Linked DNA regions of Macaca fascicularis. Each later gene encodes a partner of the first gene's protein in a complex. Links are inferred from orthologs where the notes say so. Each region holds a gene or a part of one and is shown in the gene's direction. Other genes may lie near its edges. The genes, in order: LAMTOR4, FNIP1 and LAMTOR2.

Region 1 (4,249 bases):
TTTCTAACAAGTCTTAAAAGACACCCAGACTTCAACAATTGTTACTATATTCAGATTTTTTTGGTTTGTTTTTGAGACAATCTTGCTCTTTTACCCAGTCTGGAGTGCAGTAGCATGATCATGGCTCACTGCAGCTTCAAACTCCTGGGCTCAAGCAATTCTCCCACCTCAGCCTCCCCGGTAGCTGGGACTACATGTGCGGTATCATGCCTGGTTAATTTTTAAATTTTTAGAGATGGGGTCTTGCTATGTTGCCCAGGCTTCTAGAATCACTCTTCATATTACTCACTAACACTGCCTCCACCACATTAATACGGCAACAGGTCTAGAAATTATTTAAAACAAAAATTTCCAATGTTTACATTGTGTGATGTATGTATGTATGTATGTATGTATGTGTGTGTGTGTGTATCATTCCAAGGTACTGTTTCTAATTTTTTCCTGCAGAGAATATTCAGTATTGTATCTGCATTGGCTAGCTGGTGATTCTATTCACCATCACATTGTCCCAGACTGAATCTGAAGACAAAAAACCACTTTGGGAACAAAATCTTTTTTTTTTTTTTTTTTTTTTTTTTTGAGATGTAGTCTCGCTGTCTCCCAGGCTGGAGTGCAGTGGCGTCATCTCGACTCACTGCAAGCTCCACCTCCCAGGTTCGCGCCATTCTCCTGCCTCAGCCTCCCGAATAGCTGGAACTACAGGCGCCCGCCACCACGCCTAGCTAATTTTTTGTATTTTTTAGTAGGGACAGGGTTTCACTGTGTTAGCCAGGATGGTTTCCATCTTCTGACCTCGTGATCCGCCCGCCTCGGCCTCCCAAAGTTCTGGGATTACAGTTGTGAGCCACCGCGCCCGGCCAAGGGAACAAATTCTTGTCTTCAACAAAGAGCGGTCTTGAGTAGGCATAAAAGTAGCATTTGAAGGTTGGGCGCCCAGCCTTGAATAGCTTTTTACATGCATTGCACGTTATTTCCTTTTATTATCACGTTTTTTGGGTCCAGTCTTAAACCTGGGAAGGCATTCGTTTGGGAGGTCACACTGGCGGGCATCCTGGTTCAGGCGGAACCCAGACTCTAGAAAGCGCGCGCGGAGCCACACGGTCAACCCTGTCCCACTCCTGGCCCTCCCACACCGTCCCCTCCGCGGAAGCACTCCCGCCTCCTCTCGCTCAGGCACTGACTGAGAGGCGGAGAGATGGGTGTTAAAGAGGGGATATCACCAATCAACGTGCGCCTCCGGGAAGGAGCGCTTCGCACTGGCTGGTTGGGTCTGACGACGTGGCCACGATCCAATCCTCATGCTAGAGGCGCGGCTAAAGGGTAGGGAAGCAAGCAGAAGGAGGAGCGCGCCGGGTGCGAGCACGTGACCGGGGCCTGAAGCCGGAAGCTACCTATCTGGTAGGGAGCTCCACCAGCACCGAAGACTGCGATGGTGAGTGAGGACGCATGCGCGGGAGGACCCGCCGGGGGTTCCGCGTCTCTGCTCCCCAATCTGTGTGGTTTCCCCCTCGTGGGTCTGCGCTCCACCCTCACCTCCTATCCGCTCGGGGAGGAAGACGGGATGGAGATGGGAGGGATGGCGACGGGAATGCTGGGGAGGGGTCTGTGGGAGGGTGTTCTGGGGCTGCGGGTAGTCTGCAGGTCAGGGGCGGGGAGGTGGAGAGAGGGTCTGGGGGCAGGGGCCAGTGGGGCAGCGAAGTCCCCTCGGAGTAGCATAGGTGGAGCGTGGAAGGCCAGGGGAGCCCGGGGGCCGAGAGTGGGGGCAGATGGAGGCTCGGGAAGATCAGTATTGAGGACCATGTAGGGGGAAGGGAGCCGGGAAAGGACCTGGCTGGGGAATGAGAAAACCTGGGGCCATCGCCAATCAAGAGACTTGGGTTTGTAGGTGAAGGGTATCAGGGGCCATCCATCCCTCTAGCATGCTTCTCACTACTTGCATCTTTACCCACTAGACTTCTGCACTGACCCAGGGGCTGGAGCGAATCCCAGACCAGCTCGGCTACCTGGTACTGAGTGAAGGTGCAGTGCTGGCGGTGCGTTCTGGAAAAGGGAGGGGGTCCCTTAGTGCACACAGCCCGGTAACCCCTTCTAATATTGGCCCTTCTTTTCTCGACTTTTACCTGGTTTGCGGTCTGGCATCTATTAGGTTGGTACAAAAGTATTTGCAGTTTTTGCAATTACTTTCAGTAATCAGTCTGTGGAATCTTAGTCTCCTAACGGTTGCGGTTTATTTATTTATTTATTTATTTACACTTTTTGAAACTGAGTTTCATTCTTGTTGCCCAAGCTGGAGTGCAGTGGTGCGATCTCCGCTCACTGCAACCTCCGCCTCCGGGGTTCAAGCGATTGTCCTGCCTCAGCCTCCAGAGTAGCTGGGATTACAGGCATGTGCCACCACGCTCGGCTAATTTTTTGTATTTTTAGTAGAAACGGGGTTTCACCGTGTTAGCCAGGCTGGTCTCAAACTCCTGACCTCAGGTGATCCACCTGCCTCAGCCTCCCAAAGTGCTGGGATTACAGGCGTGAGCCAACATCCCTGGCCTTTATTTGATATTTCTTAAAGAGTCATTTGTATTTTGTTCCATAGTACTGTATAGTGTTAGGTCTCTAGATGTTTTTGATTTAGCTAGAGACAAAGCTTAAGGTTAAGTGTTGAAAACAATACAGGTGGTAAAAGACTATTGAAGGAATCCAGGATATTAAAAATTCAACATGTTATGACAAGGTAACTAACTTCCCTGGAGGTAGGAATTCAGCCCAGCTTAAAGGAGAGTATTTACAGTGGGGAGGTGGACATATTTGCAGGTGTGTGGCACTGACCTTTCTAAACTGATGGTAAGTCTGTGCTGAAAAGATTTGGGAAGATTTGAGGGAAGAGGAAGATATGGTCAGGGAGGATCTGATTGTGAAGGATCTTCAAGGCCAGGTTAACACACTTGAACTTATTCTTCTTGGAGGTAATACAGCTTGAAAGGTTTTTTAAACAGAAACAAGACCCAGTGAGGTGGTTGAGCAATATTGTTGTTAGTGATGTGAAGATGGGCAGAAGGAGGCATCATTAAGAGATTAGACTGGGCCAGGCATAGGTGGCTCAGGTCTTTAGTAATCCCAGCATTTTGGGAGGCCAAGGCGAGTGGATCACGAGGTCAGGAGAGCTAGACCATCCTGGCCAACACGGTGAAACCCTGTCTCTGTTAAAAATACAAAAACAAAATTGGCCAGGCGTGGTGGTGGGCGCCAGCTACTCGGGAGGCTGAGGCGGGAGAATGGCGTGAACCAGAAAGGCGGAGGTTGCAGTTAGCCAAGATTGCACCACTGCACTCCAGCCTGGGTGACAGAGCAAGACTCCGTCTCAAAAAAAAAAAAAAAAAAAAAGAGATGAGACTGGGCAAGTGGCAGTAAGAAGGAGCAAGGAGAGAAGAGTTTTGTTTTTGTTTTTGTTGTTTTTTGAGACAGAGTCTCGCTCTGTGGCCCAGGCTGGAGTGCAGTGGCATGATCTCAGCTCAGGGCAACCTCCGCCTCCCAGGTTCAAGCGATTCTCCCGCCTAAGCCTCCTGAGTAGCTAGGATTACAGGCGTATGCCACCACACCCGGCTAATTTTTGTATTTTTAGTAGAGATGGGGTTTTGCCATGTTGGCCAGGCTGGTCTCGAACTCCTGACCTTGTGATCTGCCCACCTCAGCCTCCCAAAGTGCTGGGATTACAGGCATGAGCCACCGCGCCCGGCCCTTTTTTTTTTTTTTTTTTTAGGACAGAGTCTTGCTGTCACTCAGGCTGAAGTGCAGTAGTGTGATCACATCTCATTGCAGTCTTGAACTCCTGGGCCCAAGCGATCCTCCCACCTCAGCATCCCAAGTAACTAGAACTATAGGCAAGCACCACCACGCCCAGCCATTAAAAAAAAAAAAATTTATAGGGACAGGGGTCTTGCTATGTTGCCCAGGTTGGTCTCGAAGTCCTGGCCTCCATCAGTCCTCCTGCCTTGGCCTCCCAAAGTGCTGGGATTATAGGTATGAGCTACTGTGCTTGGCTGGGAGAAGATATTTTAAAGGAGGAATCAGTATATCTTGCTAATGACTAGAAATAGGTAATAAAAGAAATACTTCTCTAGCTAGAACTCTAAAGCCTGGAAGAGTGATGATGCCTTAAGAAACATGTTCCTTAAGGCCGCGCGCGGTGGCTCAAGCCTGTAATCCCAGCACTTTGGGAGGCCGAGACGGGCGGATCACGAAGTCAGGGGATCGAGAC
Region 2 (3,644 bases), on another chromosome or scaffold:
GGAACTATAAGAGAAATGAAAAGTTTAGTAGGAGTTGAACAGGGGAGCCTACTTTTGCCCAAGTGAGGATGCTTAGGTGGGAAGCTATGGACTGGCAGAGATATTGAGGAAAGGGACAGGACATCACATGAGTAAAGAGTAGGTGTTAAAAGTGCAGAGCATATTCAGTGGTCCAGTTTAACTGGGTCTTTGCATGAATAAAGATGATTTCTTCTTCTGACTGCCAAGAAGGAGGATAAGTATAAGAAGATAAAGCTGGAAAAGTAAAATGGGAATCATGAAAGACTCACTTGCCATACCAAAGTAATTTCAACTTACTTGGTAATTCGTGGGAATCGTGGGAGTAATTTAGAACAGTGGCATGGTGATATTTGAGCCAGTGTGTTAGCCAGAGGAGAAAATTTATCATAATAATACCTATAGCATGTATTTATTTGAGACCTATTTATATTTGTTCCTTTAAAAAGTGTGAGGGCTTTGTAAAGTAAAAATAGAGGATTTTAAATGTATATACTAACAACTTGCAAAAATTAAATTAAGTTGAAATTAGTGGCTTTGTATTCTCCTTTTTCTTTTCTTTCTTTCTTGAGACAGGGTCTCACTGTATCGCACAGGCTAGAGTGCGGTGGTGCGATCACAGTTCACTGCAGCCTCAGCTTCCTGGGCTCAGGTGATTCTTCCACCTTTTCCTCTCAAGTAGCTGGGATTACAGGAGCAAGCCACCATGCCCAGCTAATTTTCTGTATTTTTTTGTAGAGACGAGAGTTTTGCCATGTTACCCAGACTGGTCTTAAACTGCTGGGTTCGAGTGATCAGCCTGCTTCCACCTCCCAAAATGCTGGGATTACCTGCATAAGCCACCATGCCCAGCCCTGTTCTCCATAGTTTTGGCACTGAAATTACTGGTTTAATTTGAAGTATAGCATAAATATAGAAATGATAATTTCTAGTCCTGACCCCCTCACTTCCCCTGCTTTTAACATAATCGCTAGTCATGTTTAGAATGGGTTCAAAAGTGAAAATGAATTGCATGGCTAAACTCGTTGCCCTTTCTTTTCCTTTTAGTAAGGATGAGTCTCTCTCTTCCTGCCCCTTCTGGCCTATCCTGTGTACCCAACCCTCTAGGGAATGGAAGGGGAAAATAGGCTCTTACTAACATGGGAGCTGGTGGGATGGGGTGCTGGCTAGGGGAACAACAGTTAAAGTTTAGAGATATGACTTACTTTTTAATTTTATTTCTTTGTTTCTTTTTTTTTTTTTTGAGACGGAGTTTCACTCTTGTCGCCCAGGCTGGATTGCAATGGTGTCATCTCAGCTCAGTGCACCCTCTGCCTCCTGGGTTCAAGCAATTCCCCAGCCTCAGCCTCCCGAGTAGGTGGGACTACAGGCATCCACCACAACACCTGGCTAATTTTTGTATTTTTAGTAAGTACAGGGTTTTACCATGTTGGCCAGGCTGGTCTTGAACTCCTGATATCAAGTGATCCACCCATCTCGGCCTCCCAGAGTGCTGGAATTACAAGCGTGAGCCACCGTGCCTGGCCCCAGAGATATGATTTAAATCAGGAATGATTAAGTGTGTGGTGTGACTACTCTAGCTTTGCTCCATTTTACCGCTACTCCTTTCCTGTCCTTGCAAGCCAGCAGATATTGTGCTTTGTCTTTTCTTGATTGGACACAGCTGCAGAGTCCTTGTGTACATAGTACTTCAGGCAGTACTTCTCTAACCAGGTAAAAATGCTCTTCATGGAGCCTGGGTTAAAGAATATTCTTGGGATATGTGAGTTTCAGAACTGACTCTTTGCTTGAGGTTTCTGAACCATAGCATTTGTTTAAAGAGGAAGCCTGAAAACCCTTAAATTCACCTTTCTTTCTGGTTAAGACTATTCATCTCATCTTCCTCCCTTGAATAGTCACTCATCTGTTAAAGAACTAAGAATGAGGCCAGGCATGTTGGCTCATGCCTGTAATCCCAGTACTGTGGGAGGCCAAGGCCAGTGGATTGCTTGAGCCCAGGAACTCAAGATCAGCCTAGGAAACATGGCAAAACTCTGTCTCTACAAAAAAAAATACAGATAATTAGCCAGGTGTGGTGGCACATACCTATAGTCCCAGCTACTCAGGAGGCTGAGGTAGGATAATTACTTGAGCCTAGGAGGCTGAGGCTGCAGTGAACCATGACTGTACCACTGTACTCCAGCCAGGATTACAGTGTGAGACCCTGTCTCAAAAAAAAAAAAAAAAAAAAAAAAGTAAAACCTAAACAACTACTCATACAGTAAGATTAGGTTTCTGATCATTAAAAATAGCTTACTTAGCTGTGTCAGTAAAGGATGTGTCCAATAACTGATTTTTCCATTACAGGAGACTTGTATGGCGCTATTGGCTCTCCTGTACGGTTAGCAAGGACTGTGGTAGTTGGCAAACGACAAGACATGGTCCAGAGGCTACTTTATTTTCTTACTTATTTTATAAGATGCTCTGAACTTCAAGAAACGCATCTTTTAGAAAATGGAGAAGATGAAGCCATCGTTATGCCAGGCACAGTAATTACTACCACTTTAGAGAAAGGTGAAATAGAAGAATCGGAGTATGTCCTTGTCACAATGCATAGAAACAAAAGCAGTTTGCTCTTTAAAGAGTCAGAAGAAATAAGAACTCCCAGTTGTAACTGTAAATATTGCAGTCATCCACTCCTTGGGCAAAATGTAGAGAACATTTCACAACAAGAGAGAGAAGATGCTCAAAACAGCTCTAAGGAGCTGCTAGGAATTTCAGATGAGTGCCGGATGATTTCTCCTTCTGACTGCCAAGAAGAAAATGCTGTTGATGTTAAACAGTACAGAGATAAATTAAGAACTTGCCTTGATGCCAAGTTAGAGACGGTTGTTTGCACAGGATCTGTTCCAGTAGACAAATGTGCATTGTCAGAGTCAGGCTTAGAGCCAACAGAGGAAACATGGCAGAGTGAGAAGTTGCTGGATTCAGACAGTCACACAGGCAAAGCAATGAGATCCACAGGAATGGTTGTGGAGAAAAAACCTCCAGATAAGATTGTGCCTGCTTCATTTTCTTGTGAGGCTGCCCAGACAAAGGTTACTTTCCTGATTGGGGATTCTATGTCACCTGATTCAGATACTGAGCTTCGAAGTCAGGCAGTGGTGGATCAGATTACCAGACATCACACCAAACCATTGAAGCCAGAAAGAGGGGCTGTTGATCAGCATCAAGAAACTAAACAAACAACTAAGGACCAATCTGGAGAGTCTGATATACAGAACATGGTTTCTGAAGAGCCCTGTGAACTTCCCTGTTGGAATCATTCAGACCCAGAAAGCATGAGCTTATTTGACGAATATTTTAATGATGATTCAATTGAAACCAGGACTATTGATGATGTTCCAATTAAAACAAGTGCAGATAGTAAAGACCATTGCTGTATGTTAGAGTTTTCAAAAATATTGTGTGCAAAAAATAACAAACAGAACAATGAATTTTGTAAATGTATAGAAACAGTTCCCCAAGATTCATGTAAAACCTGCTTTCCTCAGCAGGACCAAAGAGATACACTCTCCATTCTTGTCCCCCATGGGGATAAAGAGAGTTCAGATAAAAAAATTGCTGTAGGAACTGAATGGGACATT
Region 3 (4,163 bases), on another chromosome or scaffold:
CGGGGCCCTCCAGGACGCCAGACCGTCAGGGAGGCCCCCATCTCTTCGCAGACCCCTCCTCCGCGCTCCCCCCGCCTCCCGCCTGCTGTACTACCTCCTTGACCGAGGCTCGATCGCAGATCACAATTTCCTCCTTGTCCTTAGGGGTCTTGACGGTGACCCGAATAGGGGGCCTCGTCTCGGCCCCGCTCGGCTCCGCCATGCCGCCGCCGCCACCCGGCCGCCCGCCAGCCCGCCCGGCTCCTCCTCCTCCCCGCCCGCCCGGCCGGCCCGGCTCGGCTCCTGCGCCTCCAACACTCCCCTCTCTCCACCTCTCCCCTCCCCTCCCCTCCCCTCCTCTCCCCTCCCCTCCCAGAGGCTTCACCGCCCCCTCCAGACCAGCCGCAGCCACAGCGCCCCGGGCGGACCGGGGGGGCCACTGCAGCGGGGTCCGCCCAGGGCCAAGCCCCAGGTCCGGAATCCGGCCAGGGTCTCGCCAAGCTGGGGCTCCTGGGGAGGCTCTGGGCGGGGGAAGGGACGTGCCCTTCACTGCGGGGGCGAGGGCGAACTCCCCGGGAGACCGCGGCCCAACGCTGCTCGCCCGAGCCGTGCCGCCGTCCCCTCCGGCCCAAAGCCTCCCCGCCCCCTCCGCGGCTAACTCTGCTCCGGGACAAAGGACTTTGTGTGTCGCCGCTTTATCTCCGTTCCCTGTGATAACTTGGTCTTTCTTGGAAGCCCCAAGTCCCTTCCAGGCCAGGGGCCTTTCCCGACTTGGAGGTTGGGTTTTCCCACCAAGCACGTCCACTTAGGATCTCAGCTCTAGGACTGACCCTATAGCCCCGAGGGTCGCGGCCTAAATGGTCTGTTGCGAACGGTTCCAGGGAGCTGGGTTTTGGCTGCGTGGCCTTTCAGAGCCTTGATTTCCTCAAGATAATAATAGTACCTCTCGCCTCATCGCACAGAATTGTGCATAACGGAGAAAACTGTTTTGAAAGTAACCAAAGGCGTGCCTGACAAATATGAGGATGTAGTATAATTATTGAATCGTGGACTGCCAAGCGGACACGTTGATTCCTTTCTCCCCGAAGGGGTTAAATGTCCTTCCAGCGCTGCAGCTGTCCTTTCACTCCCGCTCTTTTCCGCCCCCACAACCGCGTGGTCCGCCTGGAAAGGCGAACTATAGTTCCCATGGTGCCTCGCGAGGTCACGAGGAACTACGATTCCCAGAGACCCCCGCGGCGGGGCGGTGTTGAGTCGGAACCACAATAGCCAGGCGAGGAAACTACAACTCCCAGGGCATCCCGGAGCAGGCCAACGGGACTACGGGAAGCAGCGGGCAGCGGCCCGCGGGAGGCATCTCGGAGGATCTGGGTGCAAAAACCCAGGGTTAGGAGCGGTAGGCATGCTGCGCCCCAAGGCTTTGACCCAGGTGCTAAGCCAAGCCAACACTGGAGGCGTCCAGAGCACCCTGTGAGTGCGGACCACGGACCCCAGCGGCGCGCGCTGCAGTGGAGCGGCGTGCGACTCCCTGAGGGAGGGGTGGGGAAGGATCGCCCGGAAGGGAGGAGGCGTCAGAGGGGGCAGTGGCTGGGGGTACCGGCCGGGAGGTCACCTCTCGAAAAGGGAGGCCGGTGTGCTGGGTGCTTAGGGCACGTTCCGGGACACACTCAGCCGAGAGCCTTGCTGGATGTGCCCGTGGCGGGACTTGAGATGGAAACCCAGACGTTTTACTCCCCGCGCTGAGCACATCGTTATCCCTCCCCGCCCCTCACCAGGCTGCTGAATAACGAGGGATCACTGCTGGCCTACTCTGGTTACGGGGACACTGACGCCCGGGTCACCGCTGCCATAGCCAGTAACATCTGGGCCGCCTACGACCGGAACGGGAACCAAGCATTTAATGAAGACAATCTCAAATTCATCCTCATGGACTGCATGGTATGGAGAGGGGAGCCAGACTTCCCCTGTCCCCCAAGGGGATCCCAAGGGGGCGACCTGGACCCCATCCTGGATGGTTGGAGGGGCAGGGACAGGATCTCCGGAAGATTACTAAGAGTTGGTCTGCAGCAGCATTTGTAATAGGCAGGACCCTATTCATCAAGTGGTGGTGAGGAAGGAGCCCTGGACCTGAGAGGTCTGACTTGGGTTCTGGTCTCAGCCATCCACTTATCAGTTGTGGAACCTTGGGTAAGTCGCTTAACCTCTCTCAGCTTCCTTACCTCATGTCTAAGGAGAAGACAATTTCCCTCTCCCCGCTCCCCTCGTGGGTTGTTGTGAAGGTCAAATGAAATAATGGGTATAAACAGTAGAATGACGTGCAAACACAAAGTGTTGTCATCCCAGCTTCACCGACTCACAGAACCATGGCAGTCTCCAGACCCTAGTCCAACCCCTTAAGGTTACAAAGAAAGGAAAATGAAGTCCAGAAAGGGGAAGTCGCCATTAGACTGTGAACTTCCTAGTATCTGTTCAGTTAACAAATATTTAGGTCCTTGCAGTGTTCTCAGGACTAGGGAAAAAAAAACAGCAAACAGAAAGACAAAACCCCCAGACCTAATAAATCTTACACAGTGATGCGATCACAGCTCATTGCAGCCTCGACCTCCCTGGGCTCAGGTGATCCTGCTGCCCCAGCCTCCTGAGTAGCTGTGACTACAGTCATGCACCACCACACCTCACTAAGTTTTGGATTTTTTGCAGAGACTGGGTTTTGCCATGTTGCCCAGGCTGGTCTCAAACTCCTGGCTCAAGTGATCCACCCACCTCGGCCTCCCAAAGTGATGGGATTACAGGTGTGAGTCACTGTGCCCGGCCACATTTTTTAAAATAAGTAAAATATGTAGTATATATTAGGTATTGAAATTGCAATGGAGAGAAAGCAGGGAAGTTAAAGAGTATGAGTTTGTTGGGCGTATGTGTCAGGGACAGTCTCACTGGAAAGGTGATATTTGATCAAAGATGTGAAGAAAGGTGGGGGACAAGCCATGTGGCTATCTGAGGGAAGAATATTTTGGACAGAACAGCAAGTACCAAGGCCCTGAGGCAGAATTATGCCTGCTCAAGGATCAACAGGGTTGGTTGGTATGGCTGGAGTTGCATGAGAATGGAGGAGGGTTAAGTAGGAGATGAGGTCAGAGAGGCAGGGAGTGCAGTGCTTGGTTCCTGGCATACAATGAATACCTAGTAAAAGTTTGCCGAACTTACTTTTGTTTTTTTCAAATCGGCCAGAGGGTGAACTCTCCAGGAAGGATCTTCATAGTAACTCAACTGCCTACTCTCCCCTATCCCCTGCACAACCAATGCCATTTTTAGTTCAACATAAGACTCCTACTGGATGCGTAGAGCTGGTGCTATAAGGAAATAGCTTTCAAACGTTTTGACCACAACCCAGCCATAAGAAATATATTTTAAAGGGCCGGCACGGTGGCTCATGCCTGTAATCCCAGCACTTTGGGAGGCTGAGGCGGGCGGATCATGAGGTCAGGTGTTCAAGACCAGCCTGGCCAACATGGTGAAACCCTGTCTCTACTAAAAATACAAAAAATTAGTCAGGCATGGTGGCATGTGCCTGTAATCCCAGCCACTAAGGAAACTGAGGCAGGAGAATCACTTGAACCCAGGAGGTGGAGGTTGCAGTGAGCTGAGATCACGCCATTGCACTCCAGCCTGGGCAACAGAGCGAGACTCCATCTCAAAAAAAAAACCAAAACAAACAAACAAACAAAAAACAAATACATTTTAAGGCTGAGCGCAGTGTCTCACTCCTGTAACCCCAACACAGACTGAGGCTGGAGGATACTTGAGGCCAGGAGTTTGAGACCAGCCTTGGTGACCTAACAAGACCTCATCTCTACAAAAACTTTTTTTAAAAATAAATAAATAAATAGGAAATAATTTTTTAAGAAAGACATTTTAAGTCACAGCTCAACACACACATATACCCACTAAAACAAAAGTCATGAAACAATACTTTTCCTACTACATGTAATATACTTCATTTTTTCTTTTTTCTTTTTTAATGCTGATCAACCTTCTTTTTTTTTTTTTTTTTTTTGAGACGGAGTCTCGCTGTTGCCCAGGCTGGAGTGCAGTGGCGCGATCTCCGCTCACTGCAAGCTCCGCCTCCCGGGTTCCCGCCATTCTCCTGCCTCAGCCTCCTGAGTAGCTGGGACTACAGGCGCCCG

The links.
Region 2: LAMTOR4 (region 1) and FNIP1 share a complex: the UniProt entries of both Homo sapiens proteins name them as parts of the lysosomal folliculin complex. The link is inferred for Macaca fascicularis from reciprocal best matches to the Homo sapiens genes LAMTOR4 and FNIP1.
Region 3: LAMTOR4 (region 1) and LAMTOR2 share a complex: the UniProt entries of both Homo sapiens proteins name them as parts of the ragulator complex. The link is inferred for Macaca fascicularis from reciprocal best matches to the Homo sapiens genes LAMTOR4 and LAMTOR2.

The regions. Positions count from the first base shown.
Region 1 is NC_088377.1:48,815,687-48,819,935, forward strand, and holds the start of LAMTOR4 (ragulator complex protein LAMTOR4), read left to right. Parts: upstream 1-1,355; 5' UTR 1,356-1,429; coding exon 1,430-1,432; intron 1,433-1,952; coding exon 1,953-2,033; intron 2,034-4,249. UniProt on the Homo sapiens protein: As part of the Ragulator complex it is involved in amino acid sensing and activation of mTORC1, a signaling complex promoting cell growth in response to growth factors, energy levels, and amino acids.
Region 2 is NC_088380.1:138,207,726-138,211,369, reverse strand, and holds part of FNIP1 (folliculin-interacting protein 1), read left to right. Parts: intron 1-2,364; coding exon 2,365-3,644. UniProt on the Homo sapiens protein: Binding partner of the GTPase-activating protein FLCN: involved in the cellular response to amino acid availability by regulating the non-canonical mTORC1 signaling cascade controlling the MiT/TFE factors TFEB and TFE3.
Region 3 is NC_088375.1:105,027,284-105,031,446, reverse strand, and holds the start of LAMTOR2 (ragulator complex protein LAMTOR2), read left to right. Parts: upstream 1-1,292; 5' UTR 1,293-1,381; coding exon 1,382-1,449; intron 1,450-1,754; coding exon 1,755-1,917; intron 1,918-4,163. Other genes in the region: UBQLN4 (ubiquilin-4), read right to left, coding at 95-202. UniProt on the Homo sapiens protein: As part of the Ragulator complex it is involved in amino acid sensing and activation of mTORC1, a signaling complex promoting cell growth in response to growth factors, energy levels, and amino acids.